Linked DNA regions of Sus scrofa. The protein of the gene in region 1 purifies or fractionates together with the protein of each later gene. This does not show direct contact. Links are inferred from orthologs where the notes say so. Each region holds a gene or a part of one and is shown in the gene's direction. Other genes may lie near its edges.

The links.
Region 2: the proteins of ANAPC1 (region 1) and ANAPC7 fractionate together in Homo sapiens (co-fractionation; 6 studies listed by BioGRID and IntAct, with this or other methods). This does not show direct contact. The link is inferred for Sus scrofa from reciprocal best matches to the Homo sapiens genes ANAPC1 and ANAPC7.
Region 3: the proteins of ANAPC1 (region 1) and ANAPC16 purify together in Homo sapiens (co-immunoprecipitation; 5 studies listed by BioGRID and IntAct, with this or other methods). This does not show direct contact. The link is inferred for Sus scrofa from reciprocal best matches to the Homo sapiens genes ANAPC1 and ANAPC16.

What each region holds. Positions count from the first base shown.
Region 1 is NC_010445.4:44,521,884-44,525,533, forward strand, and holds part of ANAPC1 (anaphase-promoting complex subunit 1), read left to right. Parts: intron 1-493; coding exon 494-639; intron 640-1,105; coding exon 1,106-1,326; intron 1,327-2,070; coding exon 2,071-2,280; intron 2,281-3,650. UniProt on the Homo sapiens protein: Component of the anaphase promoting complex/cyclosome (APC/C), a cell cycle-regulated E3 ubiquitin ligase that controls progression through mitosis and the G1 phase of the cell cycle.
Region 2 is NC_010456.5:31,787,207-31,790,956, reverse strand, and holds the start of ANAPC7 (anaphase-promoting complex subunit 7), read left to right. Parts: upstream 1-1,206; 5' UTR 1,207-1,312; coding exon 1,313-1,413; intron 1,414-1,803; exon of another isoform or gene 1,804-1,925; coding exon of another isoform or gene 1,926-1,941; intron 1,942-3,750. UniProt on the Homo sapiens protein: Component of the anaphase promoting complex/cyclosome (APC/C), a cell cycle-regulated E3 ubiquitin ligase that controls progression through mitosis and the G1 phase of the cell cycle.
Region 3 is NC_010456.5:75,081,625-75,085,374, forward strand, and holds the start of ANAPC16 (anaphase-promoting complex subunit 16), read left to right. Parts: upstream 1-1,048; 5' UTR 1,049-1,190; exon of another isoform or gene 1,191-1,357; intron 1,358-3,531; exon of another isoform or gene 3,532-3,624; intron 3,625-3,750. UniProt on the Homo sapiens protein: Component of the anaphase promoting complex/cyclosome (APC/C), a cell cycle-regulated E3 ubiquitin ligase that controls progression through mitosis and the G1 phase of the cell cycle.

The sequences.
Region 1 (3,650 bases):
ATAGATGTAAAAGCTAAACTCACTAGGAAAAACTTACTTTGCGTGTGTACCCAGTTAAAGCAGAAACAGCAGTGTACTGTTCAGCATTGTTTGAATAGTTAACCATAAAGGACAGATTTCACATAGAAGAAAAGTACCAGTAAGGAAGTCAAACTTGGCAGGGTAATTGACGGCAGTTTTTGAATAAGTTGTTGTTAAAGGAGTCATGGACCTTTTACCTTTGGCTGATGAATTTAATGGTTTAGCCAGCACAGATCTTCAACATTTAATTGAATATGTGTGAAATCAAGACTCGTAGCACTCTCACCTTTAATATGTTTTAAGGAAATTGATGCCCAAAGTAAATTTGTTAAAAATTGAGGGTTAATTGTGTATCAGCAGGGCTTTTTGTGCTTTAATTGCCTTGGCATCTTCGTCTTTAGAAATTGAACTTCATAAACAGTCTTAGAAAGTCCATTGTTCTGTACCTGATCATTTCTGTTTTATCTTTAAGGTCTTTTTGGTTCATCACGGGTACAATATGTTGTAGATCATGCAATGAAAATTGTTTTTCTCAGCACTGATCCCTCCATTGTAATGACCTATGACACTGTTCATGGTTTGCATTCTGTGTGGACTCTCCGGAGAGTCAAAACAGAGGTAAGGATACAGGCAAGTCACTTCTTGGAGTTCTCATTGTGGCTTGGCAGTAATGAGTCCGACTAGTATCCATGAGGACTCGGGTTTGATCCCTGGCCCCGTTCAGTGGGTTAAGGATCTGGTGTTGCCATGAGCTGTGGTGTAGGTCGCAGACATGACTTGGATCTGGCGTTGCTGTGACAGTGGTGTAGGCTGGTAGCTGTAGCTCCAGTTTGACCCCTAGCCTGGGAATCTCCATATGCCGCAAGCGCTACCCTTAAAAAAAAAGGCAAGTCATTTCTTAATATGAAAGGTTAGTTAGTGCTAAAAACGTTGCATGTTTTTGGAAGAATCGTTTGTGAAATATGTTGAGTGTCTTAGAAAAAAAAGTTATATTTTTACTAACTGGTAACTACCCTGTATTTTCACAAGAAATTGCCCTTTTAATCCAGTTTTTGTCTCCTCCCCCCTTCTCTTTTGATCTAAGGAAGAGAATGTTGTTTTAAAGTTCTCGGAACAGGGAGGAACCCCGCAGCATGTGGCCACTAGCAGCTCCCTCACAGCGCACCTCAGAAGCCTCTCCAAGGGAGATTCCCCTGTGGCCTCCCCTTTCCAGAACTACTCCTCCATTCACAGCCAGAGCCGCTCAACCTCCTCTCCCAGCCTACACTCCCGCTCACCTTCCATTTCCAACATGGCAGCTCTCAGGTGCGACCTAAGTGTGGAAGCCTTTCCTTGTTCTAAACCAGACACCCCAAGAAAAAGATCCCTTCTTTTTAAACTCCTCTTGTGATTTGAAGGATTTAAAATTTCTCTTGACAGTTTCTGAGTATACTTTAGGAAAAACAGCATTATTCCAGTTGTGCTAGCTTTACTAAGACTTCCAGGCCTGCTGTGTTACTTTTTCAATGAGTCATGTTTAGAAGCCAAGGGTGCTTGTCATGAGATTGCCTCACACAACATTGTAGATCAGCTGTACTAAAAATCAACTAAAGGATTGCCTCATTTTTACCACTAAGTGGCAGAAGTTTAATAGGTATTAATTGCAAAAAATATTTTGGTACTATTTTCTTTTGTCTTAATTTGCATTAGCTTTTGTTTTCATTAATATCTGTCTGGTGCTATAGAGACATGGTTTTGTTGGTATGTATACATCTGAATGTACAGGAACATAGTTTAGACTTTTTTGAATAATATAAACCATTTTCTGAGGCAGAAAATGACTAATTTTCAGTTTTTTAAAAAATGAATTCTAACAGGGATTCTAAATCTATGGAATATACTAACGCATGTTGACACACCATTTAAGTAGCTACTGCTTTTTAAAAAAAATTTGTTTCTGACTGGGTTGATGCCATGAATACTCTGTACATAGAAGTTGGAATGTGTTATTGGAAAGTATGTGCTATCAGCCTGCATTATTAATTGTGATGCTCTCTTCTCTGTTTGCAGTCGTGCTCATTCTCCTGCCTTAGGAGTGCACTCTTTTTCAGGGGTGCAAAGATTCAACCTTTCAAGCCATAATCAATCTCCAAAGAGACACAGTATTTCTCATTCTCCAAATAGTAATTCTAATGGCTCCTTTCTTGCACCAGAAACAGAGCCAATTGTTCCTGAACTTTGTATTGACCATTTGTGGACAGAAACAATTACTAATACAAGGTTTGCAGTATGTATTTTCGTATTCAATGAAAAATGATGCTAAAAGTTTTGCTTAAAGCTTCCTTTGAATATAAGCCATCATTAATACTTAAGAAATACATGGAGATATATATTAAGGCTACCTCAGTTTCAGTAGAGCATATTAATTATATTAAGGTGATATCTTAATATTCTTTTGCCATTTGCTATTTCTTCCTTAAGTTAGTAGTAGTAATCTCTCACATTTGAAGTGTTTGATGTTTTAGGGAGAAACAACTGTTTTCTGTAGATTAGGAAACTTGGATTTTATAGCATTTTTTCTTAAGTTTTGTCCTTATGTTAGTGGGATATCAGCTGTTTTGGGAAACAAACTCAGATCTCTTTCCTGTGTGACCTTTCTCCTTTTATTTTCTCTTTGTGAGTGCCCGTGTGTGTGCTAGCGACTGTAGGTTATTAGTCAAGTAAGTCACCATCCCTGTCCCCAAAAAGAGATAGCTGGCGGATGGTGACACAGGAGGCACTGCTGTGTCTGCTGGTAGGGCTTTGGCAAGGTGACTCAGTATTTGCTGGCTGGGTAAATGGGGCAGGACACAGTAGGTGGTTAGAGGGGATCAGAACAAAAGTTCAGAAGTGTGATGTGTGGTATGTTCCGGAAATTACAGCTACTGTCAAAAACCTTGTTTGTGCAGGAGGAAGGGAAAGGACTGAGAAGGAGGAGGTTGAGAGAGATTGCCCTAGGGCTGTTGTGTTTGATGAGTGCTGCTGTAAGAAGGTGCTTTAGATGTGAGTCATAAACTCAGGGGAAAGAGCAGTTACTTATCAGTGGTGATTGAGGCGAGATGGGTGGATTGGAATATCCAGAGTGTGTAGAGGTCTTGTTCTTGGAGGGCCTGTGTATGAGCTTGCAGTTGTGGAGTTCTGGTAACCCTCTGGAATCAAAAATAGTAATTGTGTGTATGTGCAGTATATAGGATTCTTAAGGAGAGGGTTTTACATTCATTAGGATCTCAGACAGCGTCTGAGACCTCCAAGTAGTTGAAGCCAGGTTGTGTAGAATCAGAAGAGGGCCACAGACTCAAGTCCTGGAAATGTAAAATTTGGAGGTGAAAGAAATAAAGCTGAGGCAGAGGGACAAAGCAAGAGCAGTCAGGTGGGAGAAGCATGCAGGAAAAGTCATAGAACACAAGAAAAGAAGCTTTTAAGAAGGAGATGCCGGTCTTGCCAGTGCTGGTGAAGCATGGCACTAGGAGGTGGTGCCTGGATGGCAGTAAGTTCACTGCTGACCTCGGACAGGGCACCTGGGGGACAGGGTAGAGTGGAGTGGAAAAAGTAAATGGGGACTGAGGAGGTGAACTTAGATCCAAGGAATTGGCCTTTGAATGGGAATGAGG
Region 2 (3,750 bases), on another chromosome or scaffold:
CGACAAATGCTGGAGAAAAAGGAACTCTTCTACACTGTTGGTGGGAGTGTAAATAGGTGCAGCCACTATGGAAAATGAAGTATGGAGATTCGTCAAAAAACTAACAATAGAATTGCCTTATGATCCAGCAATCCCACTCTTGGGCATATATCCAGATAAAACTACAGTGCAAAAAGATACAATTACCACTATGTTCATAGCAGCACTATTCACAAGACATGGATGGAAACAATCTAAATGTCCATCAACAGATGAATGGATAAAGAAGATATGGTATGTATACATACATAAAACGGACTACTACCCAACCATAAAAAATAATGAAATAATGCCATTTGCAGCAACATGATGGACCTAGCGATTATTAAGGAAAAGTCAGTCAGAAGAAGAAAGTCAACATCATGTGATATCACTTATATGTGGAATCTAAAATACAACACAAATGAACATATATATGAAACAGACTCAGACATAGACAACAGACTTGTGGTTGCCAAGGGGGAGGGGAGTGAGGGAGGGAAGTATTGGAGGTTTGGGGTTAGCAGATGCAAACTCTTATATGTAGGATAGATTAACAAGCACAGGGAACTGCAGAGCACGGGGAACTGCAGTCAATATCCTGTGATAAACCATAATGGAAAATATGAAAAAGAATGTATGTAAGTACAACTGAATCAAAAGAATGTATGTAAGTACAACTGAATCACTTTGCCGTACAGAAGAAATTAACGGAAATTATAAATCAATTATACTTCAATCAAAAAAGTAAAGCCGCCTGCAGGTGCCCATAACACCTGAGGGGGGGCGTGGCACTTTTTGCCTAGAGCTCCTGTGGCAGCCAGTGCTGCCCCTGGCGCCTGATTGAAATATTTAATTCCAGCTGTTAGGAATTCCTCCCCCACCTACAAATAACTTTTATGATGTTAAACACTTTTTATTAATTTATGAAACACAAATTCCTCTCAGACGCATTTCAATTGAGCATGTATACATTCTGAGGTGTCTTTTGTCTGCAGCCAACTGTAAACCCTCAATAAAGACTGCAGTTCAGAAGGCTGGTGTAACTCTTACTAAAAACAAAAACCCCAAAAACCAAATTGTACCGCTTCACACGAGGCATGGCGGGGAAGGAATTGAGGTTTGTTTGTTTGCTTTTTTTCAGGCATTTCAGTAGCTGCCTATTATCTTGGGGGCGGTGCCTCGTTTGGATCCGATGGACCCCGGCGGGGCCGCCATTTTGGAGTCTTCTCTAAGGAGCGTCTACCGGCTTTAAGCGCTGGTGCCGCCGCTCCCCGCGGCCTGGCTGGGCGGAATGAATGTGATAGACCACGTGCGAGACATGGCGGCCGCGGGGCTGCACTCCAATGTGCGGCTCCTTAGCAGCTTGTTACTCACAATGAGTAATAACAACCCGTGAGTTGAGGCGGGGAGCGGCCTGGGGCTGAGGAGAAAGCGGTGCGGGTTTGGGAGCGGGGGCTGAGGGGTCCGGAGACTGGCGGGAAGAAGCGGCTGCGGGCTTCAGCTGACGTTCCGGGGTCAGCGAGGGTCTCGCTGGGCAGAGCCGACTTAGGAACGCTAGTTGAGTTTACTAGGTCCCAGCGGTAGACCAGGCACTGGGATGAGCTCCCTGTGGGGGATTCGGCGAGCGGCGCTTTCTAGATATGGGAGGCGGAGGCTCTGAGGACGACCCTGGCGAGCGTTCCCCGAAAGTTAGGAGCAGAGGTTTTCTGAGGCACCTGTCGCCGGGCATTGCGCCTGTCACATCGTTGGGCTAACTCCTCCCTTCCCTACCCCTTTTCGAAGGACATTTCTTCGCTCGCCAAGGCTCAAAGAAGCCCAGTTCTAGTTTTAGACTTTCGTCCCACATCTGAGATTGATCTTTCCTTTTGGGTATATCAGCAAGGTTCTCTTAATCGCCCCCGAAAATGGGAGACTTTCTTGGTAAGTGGGAGTGGCGCCTTTTTAAGCAGTGCCTCTTTCTGTTTGCAAAGCTGCCATTTTTAGAGTTTTATTACAGGTACAGCACAGGGCTGTTTCCAGCTTTGAGTGCATATCGTTCCTCTGCTTAAATTTCTCCAAAGTGCTTAAATTAACATTCCTTCCCACGGCCTAGGAGGTCAAATATATAGCTCTCCTGCTCTATCTCACCTACTCTGCCCTCTGTACTTCAGCTTCCCTGTCTATTCTTTCTGTTACTTGAACAGACCAAGCTGGTTCTCAACTCAGGACTTTTGCATTTCCTGTTCTGCTTGGAATCCTTACCTCAGAGCTGCCTCCTCATGTAGGTTTCAGTTCAGATACATCTCTTAGAGAACTCTTCTCTGGCCATTAGAATTGTCCCTTATTCTCACTATTTTATTCCTTTGCTCTGTTTAACATTTTGCGTCTTTTTTTTCCCCCAAACTGAGGTGTAATTGACATATTAGTCTCATGTGGAACATAATGATTGGATATTTGTGTGTTTAGTGTATCTATTACTGCACATAGTTACAGATTTTTATCTTATTTTGCTTTTTTAGGGCTGCACCTGTGGCATAGGGAAATTCCCAGGCTAGGGGTAGAATGAGAGCTGCAGCTGCCAGCCTACACCACAGCCACAGCAACGCAGGATACATAACCCACTGAGCAAGGCCAAGGATAGAACCCACATCCTCATGGACATTAGTCAGGTTCTTAACCTGCTGGACCACAATGGGAACTCTGAATATTTTTTTCTTGGGATGAGAACTCTGTTTTTTTGGCAGCGCCCATGGCATGTCAGGTTACTGGGACAAAGATTGAACCTGCACCACAGCAGTGACACTAGCTGCCGCAGTGACAACACCGCATCCTTGACCTGCTGTGCCATGAGGAAACTCTGTGATAAGAACATTTAAGATCTATAGTCTGCATCACTTTTTTGTGTTACTGGTTTTTTGTTTTGTTTTGTTTGTTTTTTGTCTTTTTGTCTTTTTCTAAGGCTGCACTCATGGCATATGGAGGTTCCCAGGCCAGGGGTCTAATCGGAGCTCAGCCACTGGCCTACGCCACAGCCACAGCAATGCCAGATCTGAGCTGCGTCTGCAACCTATACCACAGCTCACAGCAATGCCAAATCCTGAACCCACTGAGAGAGGCCAGGGATCGAACCCGCAACCTCATGGTTCTTAGTCGGATTCATTAACCACTGAGCCACAATGGGAACTCCTGTTTTGTTTTTGACCTCACCTGCAGCGTGTGGAAGTTCCCAGGCCAGGGATCAAACATGCACCCACAGCTGTGACAACACTGGATCCTTTAACCAGCTAGGCCAACAGGGAACTCCTTTTGTGTCACTCTTTAACATCTAATGAAGTGAGCACAGTGCTTTTGTGCAGCAAGCACTCAGATGTTTATCATTGAATGTGCTGAGGAAGGGCATACAACCTCAGGAAGGTAAAATACCATGTTCAAGTTCACACATTTAATAAGAGGAGGAGCCACAATGTCTGGATTTTGGTCCTCCTGACTTGGAAGTCTCCATTCTGACCCACCGCAGTCTACTGCGTTTAAATGACATTATAATCTTCTACTCAGGATGGACCCATTTACCTTTGGCCTTGCTCTAGATGCTGTCTGAGCCACTTAAAAGTGTGTTGCCACTATTGCTACCTATTTCATTTTCATTAATGTGCTTTTGGACCTCACTATGTGAGACCCATCATTTTACCACTGTCTACTTAGTACAGACAGTGTGGAGCACTGGTCTCTGTTAGCCTTCTTTGTTTATTC
Region 3 (3,750 bases), on another chromosome or scaffold:
CTGAGGGGAGGAATCCAATTTCTGTGGGCCCCCAAACTGTACATCACTTCACTGAGAGGCCAAGCTTCTAAACATCACTTAAAGAATCAATAATTCTGGAAAGAGGAGTTCCCTTCATTGCTCAGTGGTTAACAAACCCGACTAGGAATCATGAGGATGCGGGTTCCATCCCTGGCCTTGCTCAGTGGGTTAAGGATCCAACATTTCTGTGAGCTGTGGTATAGTTCCTGTGGGCTTAGATCCCCCACGTTGCTGTGGTTGTGGTGTAGGCTGGCAGCTACAGCTTCAATTCGACCCCTAGGCTGGGAAGTTCAACATGCCGTGGGTGCAGCCTGAAAAAAAGAAAAAAAAAATCTGGAAACAAAGATTCCTTATGGGCTAGCCATAGTTAAGCTCAACCAATGTTCCCACTATATGTGTTAGACGGTCATGAAGCCCAAAATAAGTTAGAGTTCCCCCTCAAAAAATCAATTCTCACTAAATACCCTAACGCTCAACCCAATCCCAGCAAGAAAATAGCTTTAATTGGTAATTTGCTTACAGAACCAAGTGGTGATTTCCTGTTGAGATTAGCAGTAAAATGAATAAAATAATAAGTAAAATAAACAGACTTGAATGTCAGAAGGGGTATAATTATCAAGTTTAATGACTTTACATCCTAGTGCCCTATTCCTCCAGGACCTTTCAAATAAATCTCTCCACAAAAGTAGATTTTAATGTTAAGGAAGGGCGCTGAGACTGAGCTCTGGGAAAGAGCGTTGTCTGAGATAGGAAGCTGTTCATCTGCCTTTCCTTGGGATACGAGTCTGCTCAGAAGGATGGCGGAATAACAAATTTAACCCTGCAGCGTGACGGTTTGGTAAGAGAGAGCAAAGCAGAAGGCCTGAAATGCCGTGCGTTAAGATAAAACCCTAAATGACAAAAGTGAGCAAGAAAAAATAAAACGAGTACTCCAAAGGTAGCGGAGAAATACGGACCCCACAGCAAAAAGAAAATCCGGGAACGAGGAGGAGAAGGACCCGGAAGTCCTCTCCGCCCCGGCCACGCCCACTACTGCAAGGGGCACGCGCACGCCGCTGCCGGTCCCTCCACGCGGGCGCGAGCACGGCGCCGCCCTTGTCGATGTTAACTCGGCCGCACCAGTCGGCCTTGGGGGCGGGGCTGTAGGGGAAAGTGCCAAAGCTGCTGAGGTAAGTGGCCGAGGGCTCAGGGACCCTCGAGAGCCTGGTGGAAAGGGACTTGATCTCTGGGATCCTACCTGCAGGGACTAGTAAAATGGAGAAAGTAGGAGGAGGAATGGGAGCCTGCCGCAGAGGGCGTGCAAGAGGAAATTTCCTTAGGCCGCGCCTGGCTAGTGCGCATGCGGGCCGAGGGCTGGCGCCTGCGCAGTGGAACGGCGCTGTTGGCGTAGCCCTCTGGGGACTCGATGGCGGGTCGGGGTGGGGGTGGGGGTGAGGCTGTGGCTGTGACTTGGAGGTAGCTTGAGAACCGTTGGCGTTCTGATCCCTCCTCTTGGCAGCCCATTTCTTTCCGCCCCACTTGTTTTTAGCTGCACATCTTTTTGAATGGTAATCCAGCTGTTTAAGTGAAACACAGCGGAATGAATGTTTTCTTGATGATGGAGTTTAATAATTGCTTCTAATAATTTGCCATTGTACCAGCGTACTTCCTTCAGTATCTTTATGATAGGACATTTTTAAAAGGAAAAGGTTCTTTCTAAGATAGGTATATATCTGCCAGGAAGGAAAGTAGTTTATGAATACGAGGTCATCCCCATCGTATATGAAGTAAATGTGTTGATTATCTCACCAATGTGAACACAGCCGTGCTGTATCTCCCCAGAGAGCATTGTTCTACTGCAAGGATCGCTACTGCTAATAGTTCCAGCTTTCCTGATAGCGTCAAATCCCAGGTTACCTCATCATCAGTATTTAAACATTTGTCAAAATTTTACAGAGCATCAACTTTGGGCATAGCAGCCAAGTGGGAGAAAGAGTTATGTAAATAGATCTGCAGAATGAGGAAGAAAAACAAAATGATAATGAACCAGTCCTCTTCATACCAATCTTCTCTAGCCCCTGGGTAACCTTTGCTGAGCTGCTCGCCCTGTGTTCTGTCATTTGTTCATTATTCAGGAGAAATTGTGATCCAGGTTCTGTGCTAGGCCTCCAGGGTAAAAAGATAACTCCTCCCCCTTTTCCTAAGAAAGGGGTTCTTCCTAAGATTATGAACCTTAAAAGTGTGAAGTGCATGTTAGTGTGAAGTGCATGTTCCCTCTTTCTGAGCAGGTTCTTTCCCCTCTAGGAGTGTGCTGACTATATGTCAAATGGAGGGAGTAATAACTTTTCCCTTGAGTGTGTTGAAACAATAAGTATGAAAAACCGGGATCTGGATAAAGCAGTGAGATCCTGCTGTATGGCACTGGGAACTATATCTAGTCACTTGTGATGAAGCATGATGGAAGATAATGTAAGAAAAAGAATGTATATATGTGTGCGTGACTGGGTCACTTTGCTGTACAGTAGGAAATTGACAGGACACTGTAAACCAACTTAATGGAAAAAATAAAAATCATTTAAAAAAACTGATCTGGCATAGGGAAAAAATGATTCAGGAAAAAATCATTAGTGATTTTGGATAACTAATATTAAGTGTTTACTGTACCTATAACTGTTCAAATTGCTTTAATTATATTAAGCTTCCTAACATGTCTGAGGTAGGCACTATCATTATCCCAATTTTAGAGATGAGGCAACTGAAGAGTAAAGAAGTTAAATGATTTGTCCCGAGTCATACAGATACGAGCCTAGACCAAGAGGCTTCAGCCTGACCTCTTAACCACTATGCTCTTTCACCTCTCACATGGCACATGACATGCCAAAAAGCCATTGTTTAAAATATGGCCCAGCAAATAAGCTAAAGTCTCTACACCTCAGTTTTGTTTGGTCATCTGTAAAATAAGGGAAGTGGATTAGATGACCTTAAAGGAGGAATCTTGTGGTTCTGTGAAATGCTTAACTCATTCAGCAAACATTTATTTAAATCAACAGCTACTTAGTATAGGCCAAGCATAATGTTTGGTTCTGGTGATCCAAGTGACTGCCTTCATAGAACAGTTACAAACTAGGGTTTATTGTTTGTTTCACTTTCATTCATCACATACCACCTGCTGGTAGCACTCAGAATCTCACCTAAATTTTTAAAGCTAGAAATTACTTGGTTGTATTTTTCCACTTAAGTGGAAAACTGCTTATTTATGTTAAAGTTAGTGCTAATTCTGCACTCCGCTTTTCAACCCTGGCTGTTTTGTGTACTGAATGGTAGTTCTGAGTTTGAAAGAAGACTATTCTTTTTAGAAAACATAAACTTTTTAGAATCTTTTGTAAACATGTAGTGTAAATTTCCATTTTGAACTTTTGTAAGGATTCATGTATTTGGTACATATTTTCTCATTTACATGTGGACTTTCTGGTTTTTTTGCTGTGAATGTGACATAGGATTGAACACTCATACCTCCTCTATTCCTAATAGGCCCTGAATTCTAAGACCATTCCTGAGCTGTTTTGTTCCAGTTTTGGGACGCCACCAAGTGATCAATTTGGATATTACATTTGGATGAAAAAGGTTTTTCTAATTTTTAATGAAAGGGCCAATATGTATTTCCTAACCAGTTCCCCTTCCTTGGGAACAGAACACAGTGTTATTCTGGAATTTTATTCGGAAAATTTTATAAGTGAATTTCTTGGTGTG